Oryzias latipes: one gene and its partner. The protein of the gene in region 1 binds, or shares a complex with, the protein of each later gene. Links are inferred from orthologs where the notes say so. Each region holds a gene or a part of one and is shown on either strand. Other genes may lie near its edges.

Region 1 (3,913 bases):
GACTCCACGACCGATCCAGCAGCTGGAAGAGAGAGTCGAAGTAGGCGGGGTAGAACTGCCAATCATCAGGGCTGCGAACAAACACGACATCACGTCAGCTCAGAACCCAAAACAAAGACAGACACCGGTCCTGGTGGTTCTGGAGGATCTGACGACAGACCCAGAACTGTTCCACAGAAACACCAAACGGTACCAGAAGTTCAGCCGTTTCTGCAGCTTCTGTCTTAATAACACGGATAAACATCAAAGGAGAAAACATTTCTACATTTCTAAGATAATAAGGCGGGAAATACAACACAGAAACTGTCAAAGCCAAACGCAGCAGGTCCAAATCCCTCTGCCATCCCATAATAACTCTGGGGTGTGGGTAAGACGCATTCATGCATCAGACTGTCTGCCAATAGAAGGCGAAGACCGTTTGCTCACAGACTGAAGGACGCGGAGCAGCAGGTCACATGACTCGGGGGCTTGTCCGGGTAACGCCTGCACTCACTTTTTGAGGAGCAGCTTGTGGGCGAGGGCGTTGCACTCGGGCCAGCGCTCCAGCCGGCGGTACAGCATCATGCACTTGCTCTCTCTGCTCTGCAGCTCGCTGGTCAGCTTCTCTGAGGGAAGACGCCACAGCACCGGTCTGCACCCGCCTGAACGCCACCCGCCACGCCCCCGTGGACCCGCGCCGTCCACCTACCTCCCAGCGGACCCCGGATCACCTCCAGAGCCTCCACGCATTTCCCCAAACGCTCCAGGATCATGAAGTAGAGCTGCACCTACAGGAAGTGAAGACAAACACGCCGCTCCTTCAAAATAAGGGACGACTCAAAGCAGAGATGAAGCCTTGGTTTCCGGTTTATCTCGACACAAACTAAAGTGTTAAAACACTAAAACCTTTTTGTTATTTATAAAATAACTAAACAAAAACTCCATCAAGTTAAATTTCAAAGTAAAAGCAGGAGGAAGTGTTAGAAAGCAGAATTTGGAGCCGACCATTTTCAAAGTTCAAGTTATTCATTATAATTATGCTGCTTTTAGCCAAGCTCTAAAATGCTAGGACATAGTTTCTGCAGAGCAGCACGAGTTCCTTACCAACACCCCCAACCCAACATCAGCACCGCAGCAAAAACCGCAGCAGCATCAGATCTGTGCAGCCGAACAGTTTAGATCCAGATTCCAGCTCAGAACAGGAAAACAAACACGTTCATGGGTTCTAATCGTCTGCAGGTGGACGCATCAGCATGGGGCGGAGCTTGGAGACTTTGGCCCCGCCCATTTACTTTGCTGCGTCACAAGTAAGAGCTTTTTCAAACCACAGGTTTCCGTTTCTCCTCCATCACAATTTGAATAATACTCAGGAACGCAGTCTTAAACTTCAATTATTTTATATCATGAGAAAAATGCAACAATAACACATTAAAGCCACCATTTTCACTGAAGTGGGGCTTTACTGTCACTGGCAACAGCAAAATAACAAACCGTCTACTGCAAACTATTACTACTGCAGAAGGCTGCTTCAGATATGTGCAAAACAATTACAAAACACATTAAGATCTGTGCAAATCTTTACGGAACAAAGCATATTGGTGCAAAGCAGCATTAAATCTACTCACCACTTTACTTAAAGTGTGAAACATTCTACATTAAAGTGTTGCAACTGCTGTTCTCCAGCTTAGGTTAATTGCGTAAAACGGCTAATCTCAGCTTCAGAATCTGCCGGATTTCTGTCGACTGCATGAACGGCTGAAGAGTAACGGTAACTTAAAGACCGTCAACAGTGGAGCTGAAGCTCTGGTGTTGATGGAGTTAAAGCCCAAACCCATCAACATTGATGAAAGAGAAAAGGCCCGGTTGGAAAGTACATCCAGGTTTTGAGTCAAACTCTATGCAGACGACAGCCTCACCTCTGCTTCTGCTTCAATCTTGTCCTCTCTGACCATCTTCTCCACCATCCGCTCGGCCAGCGGCAGGAACATGGTCTGGGCCAGCTTATCATCTTGTGCGGAGATTGCCTTCGACAACAGGCGACGATGTTTAGTTTTTTCTGGAAAAGCCGTTCAGCAAAGCATGAAGGCGAACTCCTACCTGCATCACCAGACTCATGACGGACCAGAAGTAATAGGGATTCTTGGGGACGATTTTGTACAAGGCCATTCCTGCCTGTGGCGAGAAGACACAGTCATCCTCTTGTGATTCTCATCACACTGCCATCATTCATCACCAGCGGAGCACCTGCTGCATCTTCTTGTACTCCCCCACGCGCGCATACGCCATGAAGAGGTGAGAGTGATACTCTTCGCTGAGAGGAACCTTCTTCACGGCGGCCTCGTACAGCTTGGTGACCAGCTCGGCTGTGAAGGACACGGTCGGCGTTTAACACTCGGTCCCCGCGGGGCAAACGGCGGCGTGCGGGAGCGGTGTGTACTCACGCCGGTGCATCTCTCTGTACAGTATGGTCAGGGCTTGGAGGGAGTTGTCGTCTGTGGGTTCCAGGGTGGTGACCTCCTGAGCTAAGGAGAAGGCCTCGTCCTGCTTCCCCGTCCTCTGGAGGCCGATGGCCTTCAGGACCTGCAGGAGACGGACAGACGGAGACCCAGCATTTCAGGGAGTTTCCAGAACAATGAACAGCTGTGACCAAAGAGAGAACAGGACCGGAGGAACCACAGGAACATCTGCGATAGAGACAGAAACGGGGCGGGTCCATCTGTGGATAACATCGACCTAAAAGCTGAAGCTCTTCGGCGTGACGATCGGAGCGGATTGTTGCAGCCGTCCACCAGACCGGCGGCCTCCGAGACCCCGACAGGAAGTCATTAGGAGCTAAACCGTGACATCCTGTGGTCATGTGAAGCTCTTCAGGAACTTTGAATTCAATATGAAAGGCAAACAAGAAGGTTTTCAAAGGGTTGATTCTGTAAAAGGTTCAGAGAAATGACTTAAAAATCCGGTCATTCACTTATTGATCCATATAAAATTCATCTTTACCAGAAAAAAATGTGATTTTCCTTTAGGACTAAGATCCTAAAAAAACCCACAGTGGGACTTTTGTTTAAAAGCAGCACAAATATACGATTACGTTATCCTTAGGTTAAAACAAATGCTTTTTATTGGTTTTAATGTCTTTTTTTCAACTTTACTCAAAAATTTCCCCTTTTGTTCATTTTAGCTCTTGGGGTCAAAATGGACCCATTTCCACACCTGAATAACAATTTAAAGGTGAAATCACTACTGATGCGAAAAGTCAGCGTAGCCTTGGTTGGAGCCGGATGTAACCCATTTTCTGTGGATGACATCACACTCAGTCCGTCAGTCCAGTTTCCGATCAGTCGGCGGTTCTGATGGACCCGTCTTCTCTCATCTCTGCATTAAACATCTCACATATTTTGGTGCTAAATATTTGCACAAATACACGTTATTTCCGTTTTTTAAGTCATTTGTGAATAAAGGTCTTATTTAAATGAACAAACTTCATTCTAGTGTGTTTTCCAGCTCAAAATCTACACTATAACTACCGACTACTGTCTCGGTTTGACTGCAGTTCAGTGAAGCATAAAAACCATCCGAGTTCCTCGTCTGAGAGAAACGGCTTCCCGAGTCCAACGTTTCCTCTTGGGAGAAGAGAAAACGCGGAAAGATGGGAATCGGCCGGATTTACGGAGAGTCCAGAGAGAACAGAAGGCAGCTCCGTGTTGGACGTGAAGCCGGCCTTTTCCAGCAGAGCTCCCGGGTTTAAAAACAGAAACTCCTCCTTTGAGCTGCTGACCAGGCCTTCAAAAGGTTAACACCCCCTTTACTGTACCAACACAGAAACACACAAATCTACAGAAATGTCCCTAAAAACTCAACGTCTGGATTCAGAACGGCCCTTCCACCAATCAGAGAAGCTCCTGACTGAGTTTGAGTTTGCTTTATGCTGAATGTA
Region 2 (4,678 bases), on another chromosome or scaffold:
GAAGAGGAGGAAGCTGACCGCTGAAGATGGGGTAAGCAAGGAGACGAAATTCTTTTTCATCAAAAGGGAAAATGTGACTGTTGCTCCAGAAGAGCGACAAGATTCGCTGTGTGACCGTGAAAATTTCACCTTTTTCTTGTTAATTGTTTAACTTTAAACCACATCAGATCCTAATAAAATTAGCTACTCAACAAATATTAGACGTAAATGCAAACAAAAGAAATGTTTTTCATCCCATTTTCCTGATTCCATCAGTCGGATGCAGGCTGGGAAGAATACTACGATTACATCTTCCCAGAGGATGCTGCCAACCAGCCCAACCTTAAGCTGCTCGCGATGGCCAAGATGTGGAAGAGGCAGCAGATAAACACCGACGAGCCTCAAGAAAAAGGTCGGAGTGTTGAAGAGGCAACATCAGTGGAGGCTGAGGAGACGGGCCTCGCCGACAAGCAGGCAGAGGAGGAGCCTGCCAGAAACATGACTGAATCCGAGCAGGAGAAAACGTATGATGACCGAGACGACGAGGACAGCAGCAGCAGCAGTGATAGTGATGAAGATGAGGAAGCAAAGAAGAAGCAGAGCAAAAGCCCTCAGGAGGACAAAGATTAGATTCAGTCAAAGCAGGCAGGGATTTTCTACATTTTTTTAAAAAACTCAGCTCACGAGCCATCTTTATTGCAACTTTTCTCTGTGTCGTTACACCGCTTAGACTCATTTGTGTGTTTTCTCAACTGACTTTCTTTCAAATTTATAAGAAATAAAAACTAAAAACTGCAACGTTTTGTACATTCAGTGGCTCTCCGACTTTGAAGCAGAAAAAAAAGGCGCTTGTGTGTCATTTTCACTATTTACATGGTCACTGAACTACAGCTGAAATCACAACACAGCAGAATAAAGACGGCAGATCCGAGTCAGAGAGCCACACTCTGATGTTATTCAATATCCTCCGGTCTGACCGGGTGTGGCAGCGGGATGATCGACTTCTTCTCTGTGTCTCTGGACAGAGCTTTCCTCATATCTGCAAAAAGAATCATCAGTTTGATTATTTTAAATCATTCTTTCCAGTAAAAAGTATATATATATATTTTTTTTTTTTCCAACACTAGGGAAAAATGAATTTACGTGTATTTTTTTTGCATTTTATTTGGCTGTAAATCAGAAAAACTTTTCATTTTACAGCTAAATCCATTTAATTTGTTAAAAAAATTCCTTTGATAGTTTACTTTAAAAAAAAAGAAGTAAAATTGACCTGTTAAGACTACACATTTGTTAAATGTCAATTTTCAAGTGTTCGTGACTACATAACAGTCTTCAGATAATTATTTCAATAACTTATTCATACTAAGGGCATTAAATGCATTTATCAAACCCCAAATACTGATCATAAATAAATGGTTTCTTTTTTAAAGGATTCAAAAAATTAAGCTTTTCAATATTTCTAAATAATGTATTAATGTCTAAATTAAAATGAAAGGTTAATTTCCACTAACAGGGATTGCTGTTTCTCATGTATGTAGTAAAATAAATTCAGCTCTAAGTGTTACCGTAAGCATCTTCATCGGGCTCCCCGTTGCTGGCAGAGTAATACTCGATGACTGTCCTGTACACGCTGTAACCCAGACGTCTGTACATGTTTACAGCAACCTGGTTGGACACTCGCACAAACAGATCCACAAAGAATCCTCCCTTCCTTTAAAATGACAAAAGGAGAATGGTCAATACAATGATCAAAATCAGATAGCTTTCCAGATACAAACCTCTCTGAGATTTCCTCCAACATTTCCATGAGCTTGGCGGCCAGCCCGAGCCTTCTGAACTCCGGAGCCACAGACAGAGCGGTGACGTGACCGTGCCACTCCTCGCGAGCAACAGATCCCTCTGCCTTCCCCATTACTGCAAAAAACAGGTCCAATGGGAGATGTGATGCTTCAAACTGTCAAAACTACTAAAGGGCAACTTGTATACATCAAACTCGGTATTTAGAAACGGATTTTTCCTTTTTTATATTTGAATAAAAAAGCGAAAACAACTCTGTGGCTCATCAAATTTTCAATAACCATAAGGAATATTGTAAGGAAACATGGAAAACTCACTGTAGCCCATCAGTTCCCCACCAGGAGCCTCAGCAACAATAAAGTACTCTGGCCAGTGAGCCAGGTACTGCAGGTAAAATGGGATCCCATACTGGAGGTCAAGGGTCAAGAAAACTCGTTTTTTATAAGCACACACTATAGTGTTGTATATTTCAAATAATACTACACAAATAGTTAAGGAATCATTCCTTGAGAAATGTATTATTAATGTTATAAAATGTTATTAAAATATTTAATACAAGACTTAAAAGTTAAGAAAATAAAAACCATAATCTCAAGAGGACAGATAACAAGATGTAAACTTTTTGCATATTTCCTTATATATTTACACTTGAAATTTATTATTGTATAATATATAATGATATACCTTCTTAACCAACGATGAATTGAAAGCTCATCGAAAAGGATACAGTCTCAGTTAAAGGATCCAAATTTCTGTTCAACAAAACAAGAGCAACGCTGTTTACTTTAAAGCACAGAACAATTCTCGCAAGATTTTTGTACAATATGTCAGGGGTGAAAAAAAAAAAGCTATTTATGTAGAACTTGTTTTAAAAATCCGGGGTAAAAATATCCTTAATGCATAGTGTTATATGTTAGCCGTCGACACAGCACAACTCAGCCGGCTCGAGTCGAAGCAAAAAGAAGCTAATATTTTTCTTCCAAATGTTTATTTTTCAGCCACAAACTCTCGTGAGATTCCTTGCCTTTAAATTAATCCAGCATGTAAACATACAGTCAGGATTGTACTCACATGTTGTTGAATTTGAATAAATCATCGCAGGTAAAGGGTCGCAGCGTTGTCATGTTTGCTAACTACAGTAAGCCGAGCAGAGAAGAAGAAGGACTTCAATGTAAAAAGACCACGAGAGACTTAGGAGCGCCCTCTACTGGAAAGGTCGCGTACAGCTTGAATTTTTCGTCAGTACCATTCTTCTTCGGCTGCAAATCACACGTCTCCGCCACTACCTAGTGTGTGTCTGCCACCTGCTGGACTGAAGTATCTGTTTTTTCCTTTGAGTGACCAATGCATGCTTTTTTCCTGTTATACCTGTTTTTGTTGTTATATTTTTTGTAAAGATGATCCTCATGTGAGTGGAATACTCATAAAAGCCCTGCCTGTGGGCGATTCCAGTAAAAAAACACCAGTTTTGCATTATGTCACAAAGAATTAATAAGAAAAGAAGGAGAAAAGGAAGGGAGGTTACCTTCTGCAGATATATAAGACCGTCTCAGGCTGCTTCTAGCACCAAGAGTTATTCTCTGAAGAGAGGACCATTAATACAAATGGACCTTTTTAAAGTGTGGGGAGTCTTCTGTTTCATTGCCTTCTCCACGGCTCAGGACCCCACCAACAGGTAAACATGAAGGACTCACCTAGGTAGCCGAATAGCTCATCTGAAATGTTTTTCTTGCTCATTTAAAAATAAAATGTGAAAGTTTAGATCAAATTAAGATTTGATAATGAGAAGAATGACAAGGACGGTTCAGGAGTTGGAGTCTTGTATAACTTAATTTACATAATCTTTAAAGAAGTTTTTGAAGTTTAGGTTACTGCATCTAATTATAATTGGAAGCCATAATACTTTGGTGGCCCAAGATCTTTTTTGAATCATTGAGTTATAACTTTCTCGCTTGTCTTAATATTGTTTCTTGTCTTTTATTATAGACCAGATCCTCCACCTTCATACCTTCTGCTTGCTCCCCGAACCATCCAAGCTAGAGTCCCAACTTGTTTGTCGGTCAGCATTCTGGGAAGAGAGCTGGTCACTGTGTTAGCCCAGATTTTTCATGGCAAACAGCTCGTAGCTACAAACTCTACTACAGTTAAAGGAGGTACATCATCTATCCATTACCAAGAAAGACGACTGTCTTTGAGCTCTGAAATATGATTTTAACATGAGATTCCTGTTTTGTTTTGCAAGGGTCAACCAGGATGCTGACTTTGCCAGTGAGTAATAAAAGGTTTTAATCAATAAATATTTATCTATTTTTTTCCTAATTTTATCTGAACTGTTGCATGCTGTCACTGTGTGAAAAATGGTATGACTCTTTTACATTTCTTGTAGGTATCAAGTTACCGAATGGTCCTTAAAGTTCTGGAAAAACCTTTAAATGAGAAAATTATCTCCTGTAAAATTGAATTGGAAAGGGGTTTTAAAACAGATCAATAACAGCTTACTTTTTGTGTTTTTTAAAAATGGTGCTTTGTTTCTCCTCCAGGTCATTGATGGTGAAGCTGACAACAAATACCCATACGTCCTTGAGGTCAAAGGTTATGTGGGGAAGTCCTTACTGTTTTCAAACTCCACAAACCTGTCCTTTGACCCCAAAGGCTGCACCACCTTCATTCAGACAGACAAACTTAACTACCTGCCAGGGCAAGTGGTAAAGATTAGAGCAGTGTCTATTCTCTACAATGGAAAGCCTGCCAACAGCTCCGTGAACATCACCATCACTGTGAGTCCAACATCACAAATGCTAACATGTACATGTGCAAAAATCCACCCTATACACAACAAGCATATTATCGTATGTTTTTCTTCAACTGATCAATAAACATCAAAATCCAAACTTTTCAAATA

What was found. Proteins that work in one complex are often made in the same cells at the same time.
Region 2: the proteins of naa25 (region 1) and naa20 are in contact, whole or in part, in a cryo-EM structure (PDB 7STX), measured with the Homo sapiens proteins. The link is inferred for Oryzias latipes from reciprocal best matches to the Homo sapiens genes NAA25 and NAA20. Residues at the interface, in NP_079229.2 of Homo sapiens: Ser226, Glu227, Ile228, Asn259, Asp261, Asp262, Trp263, Gln264, Arg318, Arg321, Leu325, Lys362, Pro363, Cys364, Thr367, Asp368, Val371, Leu457, Thr459, Glu460, Leu461, Ser504, Ala506, Leu510, Leu532, Asp533, Lys535, His536, Ile537, Gln538; in NP_057184.1 of Homo sapiens: Thr2, Thr3, Leu4, Arg5, Thr8, Cys9, Asp10, Leu12, Phe13, Phe15, Asn16, Asn19, Leu20, Pro22, Leu23, Thr26, Tyr27, Gly28, Ile29, Pro30, Leu33, Gln34, Leu36, Ala37, His38, Pro40, Glu41, Pro49, Glu52, Met54.

What each region holds. Positions count from the first base shown.
Region 1 is NC_019870.2:1,466,082-1,469,994, reverse strand, and holds part of naa25 (N-alpha-acetyltransferase 25, NatB auxiliary subunit), read right to left. Parts: intron 2,560-3,913; coding exon 2,421-2,559; intron 2,343-2,420; coding exon 2,224-2,342; intron 2,152-2,223; coding exon 2,077-2,151; intron 2,004-2,076; coding exon 1,896-2,003; intron 768-1,895; coding exon 689-767; intron 606-688; coding exon 494-605; intron 72-493; coding exon 1-71. UniProt on the Homo sapiens protein: Non-catalytic subunit of the NatB complex which catalyzes acetylation of the N-terminal methionine residues of peptides beginning with Met-Asp, Met-Glu, Met-Asn and Met-Gln. May play a role in normal cell-cycle progression.
Region 2 is NC_019882.2:16,315,608-16,320,285, forward strand, and holds naa20 (N-alpha-acetyltransferase 20), read right to left. Parts: upstream 2,974-4,678; 5' UTR 2,901-2,973; coding exon 2,848-2,900; intron 2,529-2,847; coding exon 2,504-2,528; intron 2,185-2,503; coding exon 2,094-2,184; intron 1,894-2,093; coding exon 1,758-1,893; intron 1,691-1,757; coding exon 1,545-1,690; intron 1,019-1,544; coding exon 933-1,018; 3' UTR 641-932; downstream 1-640. Other genes in the region: crnkl1 (crooked neck-like protein 1), read left to right, coding at 1-31, 256-609; CD109 antigen, read left to right, coding at 3,381-3,451, 3,763-3,929, 4,019-4,044, 4,317-4,553. UniProt on the Homo sapiens protein: Catalytic subunit of the NatB complex which catalyzes acetylation of the N-terminal methionine residues of peptides beginning with Met-Asp, Met-Glu, Met-Asn and Met-Gln. Proteins with cell cycle functions are overrepresented in the pool of NatB substrates.